2 linked regions of the Lepisosteus oculatus genome follow. Each later gene encodes a partner of the first gene's protein in a complex. Links are inferred from orthologs where the notes say so. Each region holds a gene or a part of one and is shown in the gene's direction. Other genes may lie near its edges.

Region 1 (6,390 bases):
CTTCTCTGGTCATGCTGGCAAAGTAACAATCCATTTCCTTCGCTCCAGTGCCTTTTGCCTTTTGCTTTCATATCAAAGGCTCTCAAAAGCACTTTACCTACAGGAGAGGAGCCACTTCATCCAGTACTGAAGTGCTCTCCCCGCCTGAAGACCGACCAGTTAGTTGCTTTATACCGGTTACATTCAAAGTAAACTTCAGATCGTTGAGATCCGGAGTTTCTGTCGAAAAGTGCCCTGGGATCTTTGCATTCCTGGGTTTATAATCCCAGGCAGAGGGCGATACCCAGCAAGAAGATGATCTTATCTTATCTTATACCTCCTGCAGCATAGTGTACACAGTCACCATACGGTAACATTGGTTGGAATATTCTGGTCCCGAGTAGACTGCGCCACCTGCTGGATCCCCCCACTACATTCATTTCTCCTGGCGTTACATTCGTTTTATATAGTCGAATGTGCTGATTTTTTTTTAATCAACGCTGATATAGTATCCCCTGTTGCTGGTGTTTTTACGATGGACTTTTTTGTTTTGGTGTTTAAGGTTGAGCAGGAGATCTGTGCTTGGGGTCATAGTCGTTTTTTTTTTCCACATCGCCTGGAGTTGAGAAACGGTCAGGAAACGCGTCCGTTTTCGCAACCGTCGGACTGCAGCCCTGTCGGTTCGCCTTGCGCTCGATCGGGTCCTGCCTCTCGGATTTGCCCCCCATTAAGAGGAAGGTGCTGTTGCACAACGTTAACAGCTTTGCGCCAGGGGTGAATTCGGTCTTTGATTAGGCAGCGACGCGACTTGATCGGCGCTGCATCAGATCCGCCAGAACGGTGTTGACGCTACCGGCATTTAACGTGACCTTATGGTATTTACATCTGGGGTCGGAAAGCAAAACCAAACTGCCCGGGATTGTGAAAATGGCAGGAAACATAATTGGGAAACAGCAGCCCCAACTCTGTGATTTATATGGTGATACAGTTCTCAGAATGGCGAGGAACATCACAGCTGCCTCCACATACCTGCTCCATTCTCAGTTCATAATGTTCCCATCAGGGAGACGGCATAGGGACCACAATTCAAATAAAAACATTTATAAGACGTCCTTTGTCCCCTCTGCATTAAAACTACTCATTGGCGGTCTGTCAATGTAGCCCCACCTCTAATTATCCAGTTACTTATGTATCACTTACTGTTGCCGTGATTTCAATGTGATTTTATGTGACTCGTGTGTTTTGTACTTCTGTGGGAGAAGCCAAAGACAGCTTTCCGCAGCGGGGGACAGTGAAGTGTCTGTCCGCAGTGCCGGGGTGCGGGTTCGAGTCCCACGTGCGCCGGGGCTGGGTGTTCCGCTGGGCGTCGTGTCCACTTTCTGCAGCCCCGCGACAGAGGGGTCGAGCGCTCAGCTACATGAGAAAGGGGCGCAAATATTTAAGTCGCGTTGCCGAAAAAAAGCATTCAAGTATAATAGTAATACCGTGGGCGGCTTAGTGCTCGTTAGCCTAAGTTGTGCGTAAGTATAGGTCTAATTCTGGGACCTTGTTCAGCGGTATTAAATCATTTTGATATTTGCTTTGTACAACAAATCTCAGAAAATGCCCCTCCTGTGTCAGTGCGTTTATAGCAGTATAAAGCACACTCAGCAAGGGGCACCCTTACTTGATTTGAGCGAGCTTATGTAATACATTGTGTAAGCGAGTGGTTTTTTTTTTACATTTGAATTTCTCTTTAGAAAAAAAAGATTGCCGTCCCCTCGGCAGAGACGTTTACAACGATTTAGTTTCTAAAAGAAAAATCGGAGATTATCAGTGCTTTTAAAAAAAATCAATTACCATGGAGAAACGTTCTGCGCTGTAAAAACGAGTCGAACGACGTCAAACAACCTCCTTGTATCGAAATTTACTCTGTTCCTATGACAGCTCATGCTGTTTAACCCTGTGCATTGTTTTGTTAATTGCAGAGCATTTTCAGTGATTATGCTGCACTGGATGTACGTTTAAGCCATTGATTATTGATCATGCCCTTGGCACGGGCAGGCGGTACTGCGCCTTTAAGAGTTTGAAAGAGCGCGTGGCGGGTCTGTTGTGGGACCGCCCACTTAGCCTTTCCCAGGGTGCACCGGGGGTCAAGATGGCGGCCGCGGCGGCACTGGAGCGGAGCTACATAGAAATATGTGGTTTCGAGAGAGAAACCCTCCAGAAATTCCGAGATATAACGGTTGATCCAGGTAAAGGCCCTTAAAGGATCACGCACGGGGGACGGGGGACTGTACTTTGTTGGGTAAGATAGTACGATCCCCGGAAGACGAGGTCGTGACTGCCCACCATGCAGCGGGTTAGCCATGCCTTCGGTAGAGCGCCTATTTGACACTGTACTAGCAAGTAAATCAATTAAGGTACCAAGCCGCCCCGCGGGTCTGGAAAACCCAAGTATCACACCTTGATTGGTGCCCTCCAGTAGATCTTGAAGTAGTCGAGGTAGGGTTTTTTCTAAAGTGTTCTGCAAACTTGGCTTTTTGAAGAGGAGCAGAGGCATGGATTATGAATTCGTTATTTGTAAAGTTGCGGTCATTTCCTACACAACATAAATGCTTTGATTTTAAGGTGGCTTTAATTTCGCTTTACAGTGATTTACATCTTAATCATGGAGTTAGTCTCGGACTCTATATGCTTATAATGACCTAACTGTAATCTTAAGTATCGCGCAGTGGAAACTCGATTAGTACAATTCTTTCGAATCCCATTATCCGCGGTGAATCCAGCAGGACGGTAAGCCCCAACACTGCGAGATGTGTGCTAGCAAGTCTTTTCAGCACCCTGCTTTTCCTGGGCGTCTCTAGATATATCGAGCCTGATACAAGCATGCAGCGTCCGGCGCCCCGCTTTCTCTTGGAATTTACACAGGAAGATAAAAATATGAGTGTTGCCACCAGTCACTCACTGGACTGTATTGCTGGACTGGAGAGGGCGGGTTTGTTTTTTAGTTGAAAGCCTTTGCAGAGTCTAAAGCCTTACGAAGAAAACTCCCTTTTCGCTCGCACGCTGTGATACAACCCTTTGTCTTTTTCTCTGATTGCAAGGGGTGAATGCTCTTCCCGGAGGAGTCAAATATCCGGACAGTGCTGGTGGATTCCATTATGAGGAATGTGATAAGCTCCTGTCTGTTACAAGCAACAGGTTCATACAGTGGTGAGCTGCAAATCTTTTTCTTTTACCTAACACTTGTCATACTAGCATAGTAACGGGGATACTATACTGTAAAAAGGCGCCGTCCTTCAGCTGAGATGTAAAACCGAAGTACTGATTCATCTGTAAACTGGCTTCATCTCCTCCCCACTGAGAGCTGGTGTGTGGTGAGCGTTCTGGCACACTATGGCTGCTGGCGCATCATCCAGGTGGGGCTGCACACTGGTGGGGGTGTAGGGGATCCCCATTACCTGTAAAAAGCTTTGTGTGGAGTGTCCAGAAAAGCGCTATATAGGTGCATAATGCTAGCATAATGAGGGCCCTTTTTGATTTGCAATATTGGTGTTTCTTGCAGTTTTCTGGGACAGTTTTCTGGGTGTTTTCTCATTGCAAATCTGTAGGTGATAATGTCTACTTGCTGTGGTGTCTCGGGAAATTATGTTTACTTCGTGGCACTAACAATGCGATGCTGGTTTGTAGTGCGTCCTGATCGTTTCCCACCCCAGGCGGAGTGGAGCGGTTCATACTGTATCTCCCAGCTGCTCGTATGTCAGGGCTTAATTCAGGGTAAATTGCTCCCTGGGCTCAAACAGTCTGACCCCCCCAAAAGCTCCGTTGAATTAATCTCCTGCTGAGCAGTGGGGTGGAGTAGGTCTCCTCCCTCATGTGGAGTGTTCTTGCAGCCCCTGGGATGAACAACGCTATGCAAATGGCAGGAATTATCAATAAAAGCATGCAGTCGACTTTGGTAAATGAACGCCTTCATTGATCTGCTAGAATTGCTTTTCCTCAGTTTGTTGTTAATTTCTCTTATCTAAAGACTGCAGGGTTTTTTTATACTGCCCTCCAGGTAGGGCCCAAAGCATCAGAAGATTCTATGCATTATGCAAGCATTATGTAGTCAATACGGGGGGGCAAGCATCTCGGAGGTCCTTGGTTCAGTTCCTGTCCGTGTGGAGTTTGTATGTTCTCCCTATGTTTATGTTGGTTTCCCCCACATGCTCTGGTTTCCTCCCACAGTCCCAAGACATGCTGGTGGGTTAATTGGCTTTTGGGTAAACTGGCCCTGGTGTGTATGTGCCCTGTGCCCTGTGAGGGACTGACATCCCACCCAGGATGTACCCCACCCTTGCTTGCCGTGACAGGCTCCGTCTCCCTCGCGCCCCTGATCTGGAAGAAGCAGTTAGGAAAGTGGGTTGTTGTGGTGTTGGTGGTGTGGGGCATGAAATCGCACTTTCTCACCGCCTCCAGGAGCACCTCCGGCGACACTGTCCAGCTGGTGGAGCAGTCCCTGGACACCAACCTGCTGAACAACGCCGTGCGCTTGAAGATCCTCCACTGCGCCCTGCTGCCCGGGGGGGTGCACATCCAGGAGACCTGCAACCATGTCGTCGTCCTCGTGGTCACCAGCCAGACCGTGCACCGGCTGGTCCTGCCCCACCCCTCCCGCATGTACAGGAGTGTAAGTTCTCCGGGAGATGCCGATTGCTCCTGCCTGGTTTCTCAGCGCCCCAAAACCAGGATATCAGGTTCTTTTTGTCTTGTTACAGTCGCAGCAGGGGCTTGCATTACAGACAGCAGGCCGATGGTCACTCAGGAAATTGGGGCTGGTTCTTGTGGTCACTGACTGCTTGCAGGCCTGCTTGTTTGTACCGGATTTTACACTAGAGTTTGCCCACGCTTAACCAGGGAAAAAGATTTCGGTGAAATCACCCAGGGATGTTTTGCACGGTGAAACCTGGTAGCCCAGAGTCCTTAATCATGTTGGTGTTCCCCGTTAACGTCTTAGCTGTGTACCTACTGTGTACTCCGGGGCAGAGCGGTGGCTCTGTGGCTGGGAGGTTGCCGGTTCAAATCCTGCAGCCGGCAGAGGAATCCTACTCCGTTGGGCCCCTGAGCAAGGCCCTGAACCCCAACTGCTCCAGGGGCGCCGTATAAATGGCTGACCCTGCGCTCTGACCCTAACCTTCTCTCTCTTTCCGTCTGTGTGCCTGTGTGTCTCATGGAGAGCAAGTTGGAGTATGCGGAAGACAAGTTCCTAATGCAAGAAATTGTATATGGCCAATAAAGTGACCATATCTTACATCTTACATCTGCTGTGTGCGTTCCGTATTGTAGAGTAATGGAGGTTCTGTGGGTCTTTTATCTCCCAGGAGCTGGTCACCGAACTCCAGATGCAGTCTATATTCACGGACGTCGGGAAGGTGAACCTGCGAGATCCCGCCAACACCTCCGTGATCCCGGCCCTTCCCGGGCCGGTGGCGAGCTCCGGCGCCTCCGCAGCCTGGGTCAACGGCGAGGGGGAGGCGCACTTCGCCGTGGCGTCGGCGTCGGGGGGCATCCTGGTCATCAGGCTGCCCCCCCACGATGTGCAAGGTGAGGGTCCCCCGCCAGGACGAATTTGGCCCCGGCTCTGCCGCCGGGAGCCCACCAGGCCGCGAGCAGCGGCTCCTGTCCCGGTGAAGAATGTGGTCGAGAGGAGTGAACGAGGTGAGGTTTCGTGGCTGGGCAGGTAGTTTAGAAAGTAGCATAAAGGAACATCAAGTGAGAGGAGGCCATTCAGCCCAACTAGGCCATGGGATTATTAATTTCTTTGATACTAATAGTATCAGTCACTAATCAATTACTCGTATAATTGATCTGAGGATCTCATCCGGCCGTTTCCTGGAGGAAGCCAGGGTATCGGCTTCAACAGCTGCACTAGTATCAGTCACTAATCAATTACTCGTATAATTGATCTGAGGATCTCATCCGGCCTTTTCCTGGAGGAGGCCAGGGTATCGGCTTCAACAGCTTGGCCGTGCAGCTTCTTCCAGACCCGCAGAGCACTTTGCATTAAGAAGTGACTGACTCCCGTTCTCAGTTTCAAATGCACATCTACTCGGTTTCCACTTGCGTTCTCTGGTGCGTCTCACTCTCGTTCTGAAGAAGTCCACTGAGCTGGCTTGGTCAGCGTCTTCAGGGATTTTGAAGACATGTACGAGTTCCCTTCGTTGTCTCTTCTGTTCAGAACTAAAGATCTTCAGTTCCTTCAAGCCGTCAGTAGAGGACATTCCCTTAAATCCCCGAAATGTATCTGCTGCTTCTTCTTCTTCTTCGGGCTGATTCATAGGCAGCAAAAGTTTTGTTAAAGGGTTATTTGGCATGGCTAAGTCCGAGATTGGAAGTCAGTTTGGGCTGCTTCTGCGTCATTGCGCTGGTTCGCTAGTTACCTCTGCA
Region 2 (6,390 bases), on another chromosome or scaffold:
CCATGATTGGTAAGGGCCAATGGGAAGTGTGGCCAGGACGCCGGCCATGAAGGCTGTTCGAGCCTGGCGTGTTAAGGCAGTCCTCCAGCTCCATGAACTACAGCGCCCGTCAGTCGGAGCTCCTGCTCTGCTCCCGAGAGGACTGACACCCCCTGCGCTTCAACACCCTTCCACCTGCGCTGGTTTATTTAATTCGCAAGTTACTTGAGTGGCACCTGTATGATGAGGGTTTTTCTGCTTGGCTCTGAGATCTTGTTAACCATGGAACACAATAGTTAGAACTTCTCCCCTGTTAATTAACATCAGAAAACCACGAGTTCATATTAACCCAATTACCTGGGCAAATAAGGGTTCAATCATGTAACCTAGACTGGGAACTCCCTGAAATTGTATCAATGCAGTAGTTACGGAAGATGCATCTTAAATATTTACCTACAAATCATTCTCATAGAAGCATAGACATCCAAAAGACCGGGACAGCGATTCAACGAGTGTGGAGCGAGCAGGAGCAGGGGTACGAGACTACAAGAGTGTGGATATCGACGATCGAGTAGCGATGACAAAGCACACAGCCCAGCTGGGCCTCTCGCAGCCAGTCTCCTGTGTTCAATTCAGCATTTTTCAATTGACAACTGTAATTGTTTTATAATATTTTTGGGGGAATTTAATTTTTTGTGCGCAGTTCAATTCCCTATGTGGGTTGATTTCATAACTTGTGTGCGTGCGCACACGCGCACAGCTGAGAGGGAGCATTGCTCCTTGAGCATTTTACAGAATGTTTCCTGATCTCCTCTGTGAAACTACAGTCTGAACTTGGCTTCCACAGACAGCCCAGGGAACCTGCAGAGCTTTGCTCTTCTAGTAAAAGGAAATATTTTGAATACTATGAGAAGGAAATAATTGTATAGTATATATCTCCTCTTAATGCAACATTAATGTATCATGATGTTCCACTATGACCAATAAAACAGTTATCACATGTTTAAGCACTGTTAAGTTATAGGGCTCTGGTGTGAAGTAGTGACCTTTAAAATTGTAATTTAAAAGAACTACTGAAGTTTTTGCTGAAGAGCACAGCGTTATGCTGGTCAGTGTTGTTGCCTCAGGAGATCTCGTGTCCTGAGTTCAGTTCTGACCTGAGATGCCTGTGTGTGGTCTGGCGGGCTCCTCTAGGTGCCCCAGTTTTCTCTGTGACTGCTGGATTAGGCTGTGGCTCATTGTGACCCAGGAATATTCCCTTACGTATGCCTTATAATTATTCAACATTATAATCCTCAAGGAGCAAACAGAACTCATATAGATCAAAAGAAAATGTCAATTGAAATAAAATCATTCATAGTCCAAGATGGAATGAAAACCGGATCAAGCTTGTGCCTCAAGAACCGAGAGTGAATATATAGATCAGGATCCAGCTGCTAGCGATAATGACCTCCAAGATCTCATGGATCACCGACTATCTGACAGGCAGACCACAGTTTGTGAGACTGCAGAACTGTGTGTCTGAACAGGTGGTGAGTAACACAGGGGCTCCTCAGGGGACAGTTCTTTCTCCGTTCCTCTTCACCCTCTGTGCTTTGGACTTTAAGTACAACTCAAAGTCATGCCACCTGCAGAAGCTCTCAGATGACTCTGCAATTGTAGGATGTATTGAGGGTGGGCTGGAGGAGGAGTACAGAGGACTGATTGACAGCTGTGTGGAGTGGTGTGGGGAGAACCACCTGCAATTGAACGTGGCAAAGACGAAGGAGTTAGTGATAGACTTCAGGAGGAAGAGGGTCCAACCTACTCCTGTGTGCATCCATGGGAGTGGTGTGGAGATAGTGGACTCATACAAGTACCTGGGAGTGCACATTGACGATAGACTGGAATGGTCTAAGAACACCGAGGCCAACTACATGAAGGGTCAGAGCCGACTCTACTCCTTGAGGAGGCTCAGGTCCTTCAATGTGTGTAGTAAGATGCTTCATATGTTCTATCAGTCAGTTGTAGCGAGTGCAGGTGTCTAAGCAGCGGTGTGCAGGGGCTGCACAGGTTGAACAACCTCATCAAAAGAGCAAATTCTGTCATTGAGTCTGATTGGGTCCCTTGGAGGTAAGATAAGATAAGATCACTTAATTGGCCACATACAATTTCTTGTATTAGGAATTTGTCTTTTTGTATTCCCCAACCTGCTCTCCATGAGACACACAGACAGGGAGAGAAGCTGGGGGTCAGAGCGCAGTGTCAGCCATTTATACGGCACCCCTGGAGCAGATGGGGTTGAGGGCCTTGCTTAGGGGCCCAACAGAGTAGGATTCCTTTGCGAGCCGTAGGATACGAACCGGCAACCTACTGGCGCAGATCCTTAGCCAAGGAGAAGAATGGTGTCCAAAAATGGACAACACCTCCCATCCCCTCTATGACACGCTTGTGAGAATGAAGAGCACGTTCAGCAATAGGCTGATCCACCCGCGGTGCGACAGGGAGTGCTAGAGAAGGGCATTCTTGCCTTCTGCCATTAGACTATACAACTCATCCACTGTGTGTCTGGGCAGGGGAAGGTTGACTAAACATGAATTCTCTGTTTACAGCTGGTTTTTCTGTTTACAACTGATGTGCAATATATGCTGGTGGATTTGTGCAATATATTTATACTGTGCAATACATCTTGTGTACTGCAACTCTGCATACTCCATTTTTTACTGCACTTCTCACTGACTTTATTGTATTGTTGTATTATTGTATCATTTTGTTACACTGTGCTGTGTTGAGTGTGCCTGGCTGTTGTTGCACTGCAATTTCTGCAATTTTAATAAAGTATCTATCTAATGGGTTGGTGCACGTAATCGCCATTGCGGCTCACAGTTCTAGAGCCAACATGGCGTCGGCCTCACGACGCGCAAGTGCGAAGTGCGGTGTTTGTCCTCCCCTGTCATTCAATAAAGTTATATTGAAGGCGCTGAGGCCTGTGGGAGCAGTGGGGTCCAATGAGAAGAGGGTTGAGGAAGTGCCGGGAGGAATGTGCTCCGCCGAAGGAGGGATACAGTTAGGCGAGCTGCTGTCAAAATATACATCTTTTTAAACGCGATATCGAATAACTTTACTTAAGTCTAAGGTAGAAGGTGAGTAAATCCTCGTATATGATGTTTCTAGTTCTGACAGAGGATCACTACGGCCTGTTTTTTCTCGACATCTTAAGCGCCGAGCTGGTAATACGCACGTTGGACAGTGGTTACACTGCGATTATTGTCCGTTATTGATCTTAGGCTTATGTATTTACGGTTTTCCAAACAGCATGATAAATTGTAAAAGCCTTTTTTTTCCCTGCACAAAATAGTTTCAGATTTCTGATTACGCGCTGTTTTACTTACAAGTCTGGGAAGAATGGCCGGGTTTCAGTCATTCAAGACACCCAACTGCGCTTTTGCTGTGTAAAATCTGGGCGCTGAATACTAATATTTTTTAAAAAATTCCCACGCTGATCTGAATTGTGGTTTGCAGGGGCCCCTTCTTTCAGTTTTTAAAGACGGGTGTATGAAGTTCTGTTATTTTGATGCTCCATCGGTGCCCGTTGTGATATCGGCCATTGTACGTTCATCGGTCCCCCCTGGACCGAGGAGATGCCTGTAGGTGACTGTGGTGTCAATAAGTGGATAGTGTTCGTCCTGAGAGCGATGCGGCCCAGAGCTCCCGCCCTCAGCTCGTCCCGCCGCTCCTGCCTGCAGGCCGGCCATGGACGCGGAGGGCTTCGGAGAGCTGCTGCAGCAGGCGGAGCAGCTGGCGGCCGAGACGGAGGCCATCTCGGAGCTGCCCCACGTGGAGCGCAACCTGCAGGAGATCCAGCAGGCCGGCGAGAGGCTCCGGTCGCGCACCCTGACCCGCGCCTCCCAGGAGACGGCCGACGTCAAGGCGTAAGTGCTGCGGCGCTCGGGGGGGGGGAATCTGAGCTCCTCAAGCTTGTCGTCTTGAAAAAGAGCAGCATTGAAGTAGTCTTGTTCCCCAGACCTGTCACTGTCCCTGTCTCCTGATGCCTGTGCCCTGTTCGCACTTCTGTTCATGCTTGCCCTGGCTTCCCTGCCAGAGGGCAAATGTGGTTACAAATGGTACTCGTCTTCAGGGTTTAAGGAGGAAGACTTGCCCAGTTATGAGTCTGCCCTCCTGCCATAGTGCTATTGGTTATGTCATGTAAATGATCTTCTCTTTGCAAATGTGATGATGAAGCTGATAATGTGCAACATTGGGCTGCTTGCTTTAGTAAAGACAGAAACCAGAAATAAGACTCTTAACAGTATAGATACATTTTGTATAGCTCATTTCCCTGACACACTTCAGCTGATTCTTGCCTCTAATGTTCTACACCCATAACCCAAACAGAGAGCGAGAGCTCAGAGTTGGTTTGTGTCCACACTATGCCCTGACTGGCCTGTCTGTTTCAGCTCAATCCTGCTGGGATCCAGAGGACTGGACATTTTCCACATCTCTCAGCGCCTGGAGAGCTTGAGCGCGGCAACAACGTTTGAGCCCCTGGAGCCCGTGAAGGACACGGATATACAGGTACCGTGCTGGTCCTGAGAGGGATCCTGGGTCCTGTGTGGGTCTGGTGATGTGTTACTGGGTGAGGACTGCTGTCTGCTTTGCACCGCTGTGCAGACCCATTGTTAGAAGGCCTTGTATCCGTTCTTCTTGGGTACCATAAAGTCCTTAGACTTAGAAGCCAGAAATGGCTTCTGTAATTGGTGCCAGGTGTGGAAGGCAGGAGAACTAGTCTGTTCCACCTGGATGCTCTTGGGTTTGTGTCCTTGGTGTGGGTGGTGCCACGGGTCTCAGAACTGTGACCTTTGGACACTGGGGGGTGTTCAGAGGTTCTGCTACTGCTCCTGGGCGGACTGATCAGGTTCAGTGTCTCCTGGCACTGGGCTAGGCCCGCAGAGGATCCGGTGCGCAGTGCCCTGCGGTTCAGAAGCTGCCAGTCCAGTCTGGGTCGTGTCACTAGCGGGTTGTGACAGGGAGTCCCCCAGCAGAAGCACACAGCTGTCGTGACGGCTGCCAGAATACTGCTGGCGTTAGCTGACGTGATGCAGCAAGGGCTGCTGGGACCTGCCTGGTGCCCAGCAAACATGCAGTGACATCAGGAGGTGATGTACCCCCCCTGCAGCTGGCATGGACTATCTGACATGAATCACTTCCTAAACTGGATACAGATAGATGATAACATGGTCGAAAATTCCAAATCAATTTAAAGGCAACAATTTTAACTTAAATGTCTTTCTCGTTAGTCACAGCTCCTGCAGATGGATGTTTGATTTATCCGATTGAATTCACACATGTGGTTTGACTACAGGTTTAGTCAATGCTGTGCGTTGACAATGCTTCTGATCTGTTGCTTTAGTTGCGTACACTGTCGCCCTTGTGTGGGTACAACAGGGCTCTGTGTGCTTCTTTGTGCTCAGTGCAGCCCAGCTTGTGTTTGGAAAGGGAGTGTTGCAGTAACATCACAAGGTTTTGTCTTTTGTCACGGAGAACTTGCTTGTGCTTGCCCCCTGCCTGTCCTGAGTGACCCTTCTTTTGCTGTGCAATACCCCAAAATCAAGCTGGCAGTTTGCAGCCGAACCCCAATCGCCGCCGAGCCTACCTGCAGTCCGGTGGGACCTGTTACGCCTCGATGCTGTGTCTGTGCTCGACCCGGGACGAACACAGTAGTGTGAAAGGGGCATGTGGGACCCTGAGATGAGGCTTCACCAGCCTGGAAAAGGGCCCTTCGTGCTCATCTCGGGGTCCTTGGTTGTTGGAGTGTTGATATTTAACACTACGGTTGTAACAGGGTTGATATTGTAGTGGTCTGATTTTGTGTTTTTGTTGTGCATAGTGGTACTGATTTCTCACAGCTGCGCTGTCCTGCCTGTCAGTATGGAACAGAACAAGCTGAGTTTCATGGTGTTGCAGTCCGTGGTGCACTGATGCTTCAGATGGTGCCTCTGGCCCTCGTGCTGGTAGAGTCCCGCTGAAAGAAGGGACCTCTCTAGACGTAGAGTTTGCTCAAAGCAAAGCAAAGCAAAGCGAAGCAGGAGATTTGTTTCGATTCAGTAGCTGCGAGATCATCTGAAATGAAATGAAAACGTTTGGAAAGGGAAACGTGAGCAGCCGGTTGCTCTCTAAGTGGTGCTGGCTTAACTGACCAAGTGGACCCCCCAGTCTGATCGAGGCTGCTGTTGCAGGCCTTCACAAGCTGCTGATTTAGCAGTGACCTGTAAGACCTGTTGGATTTTGGCTCTCCAGGATTAGGGTTGGACAACCTTGTATAAAAGGGTTAATAGATGATACAGCGTATCATAATATATTTACTTTTTTTACTCCTTTCACGTTTCTCTGCTGTGTTTTAGTTACTTCATTTCTATTTATATGAGAAATAAC

The links. The genes of interacting proteins can lie anywhere in the genome.
Region 2: nup160 (region 1) and nup93 share a complex: the UniProt entries of both Homo sapiens proteins name them as parts of the nuclear pore complex. The link is inferred for Lepisosteus oculatus from reciprocal best matches to the Homo sapiens genes NUP160 and NUP93.

Annotation. Positions count from the first base shown.
Region 1 is NC_090716.1:4,053,406-4,059,795, reverse strand, and holds the start of nup160 (nuclear pore complex protein Nup160), read left to right. Parts: upstream 1-2,081; 5' UTR 2,082-2,116; coding exon 2,117-2,213; intron 2,214-3,065; coding exon 3,066-3,174; intron 3,175-4,422; coding exon 4,423-4,633; intron 4,634-5,324; coding exon 5,325-5,547; intron 5,548-6,390. UniProt on the Homo sapiens protein: Functions as a component of the nuclear pore complex (NPC). Involved in poly(A)+ RNA transport.
Region 2 is NC_090715.1:1,144,933-1,151,322, forward strand, and holds the start of nup93 (nuclear pore complex protein Nup93), read left to right. Parts: upstream 1-2,949; 5' UTR 2,950-3,101; intron 3,102-3,704; 5' UTR 3,705-3,711; coding exon 3,712-3,890; intron 3,891-4,415; coding exon 4,416-4,533; intron 4,534-6,390. UniProt on the Homo sapiens protein: Plays a role in the nuclear pore complex (NPC) assembly and/or maintenance. May anchor nucleoporins, but not NUP153 and TPR, to the NPC. During renal development, regulates podocyte migration and proliferation through SMAD4 signaling.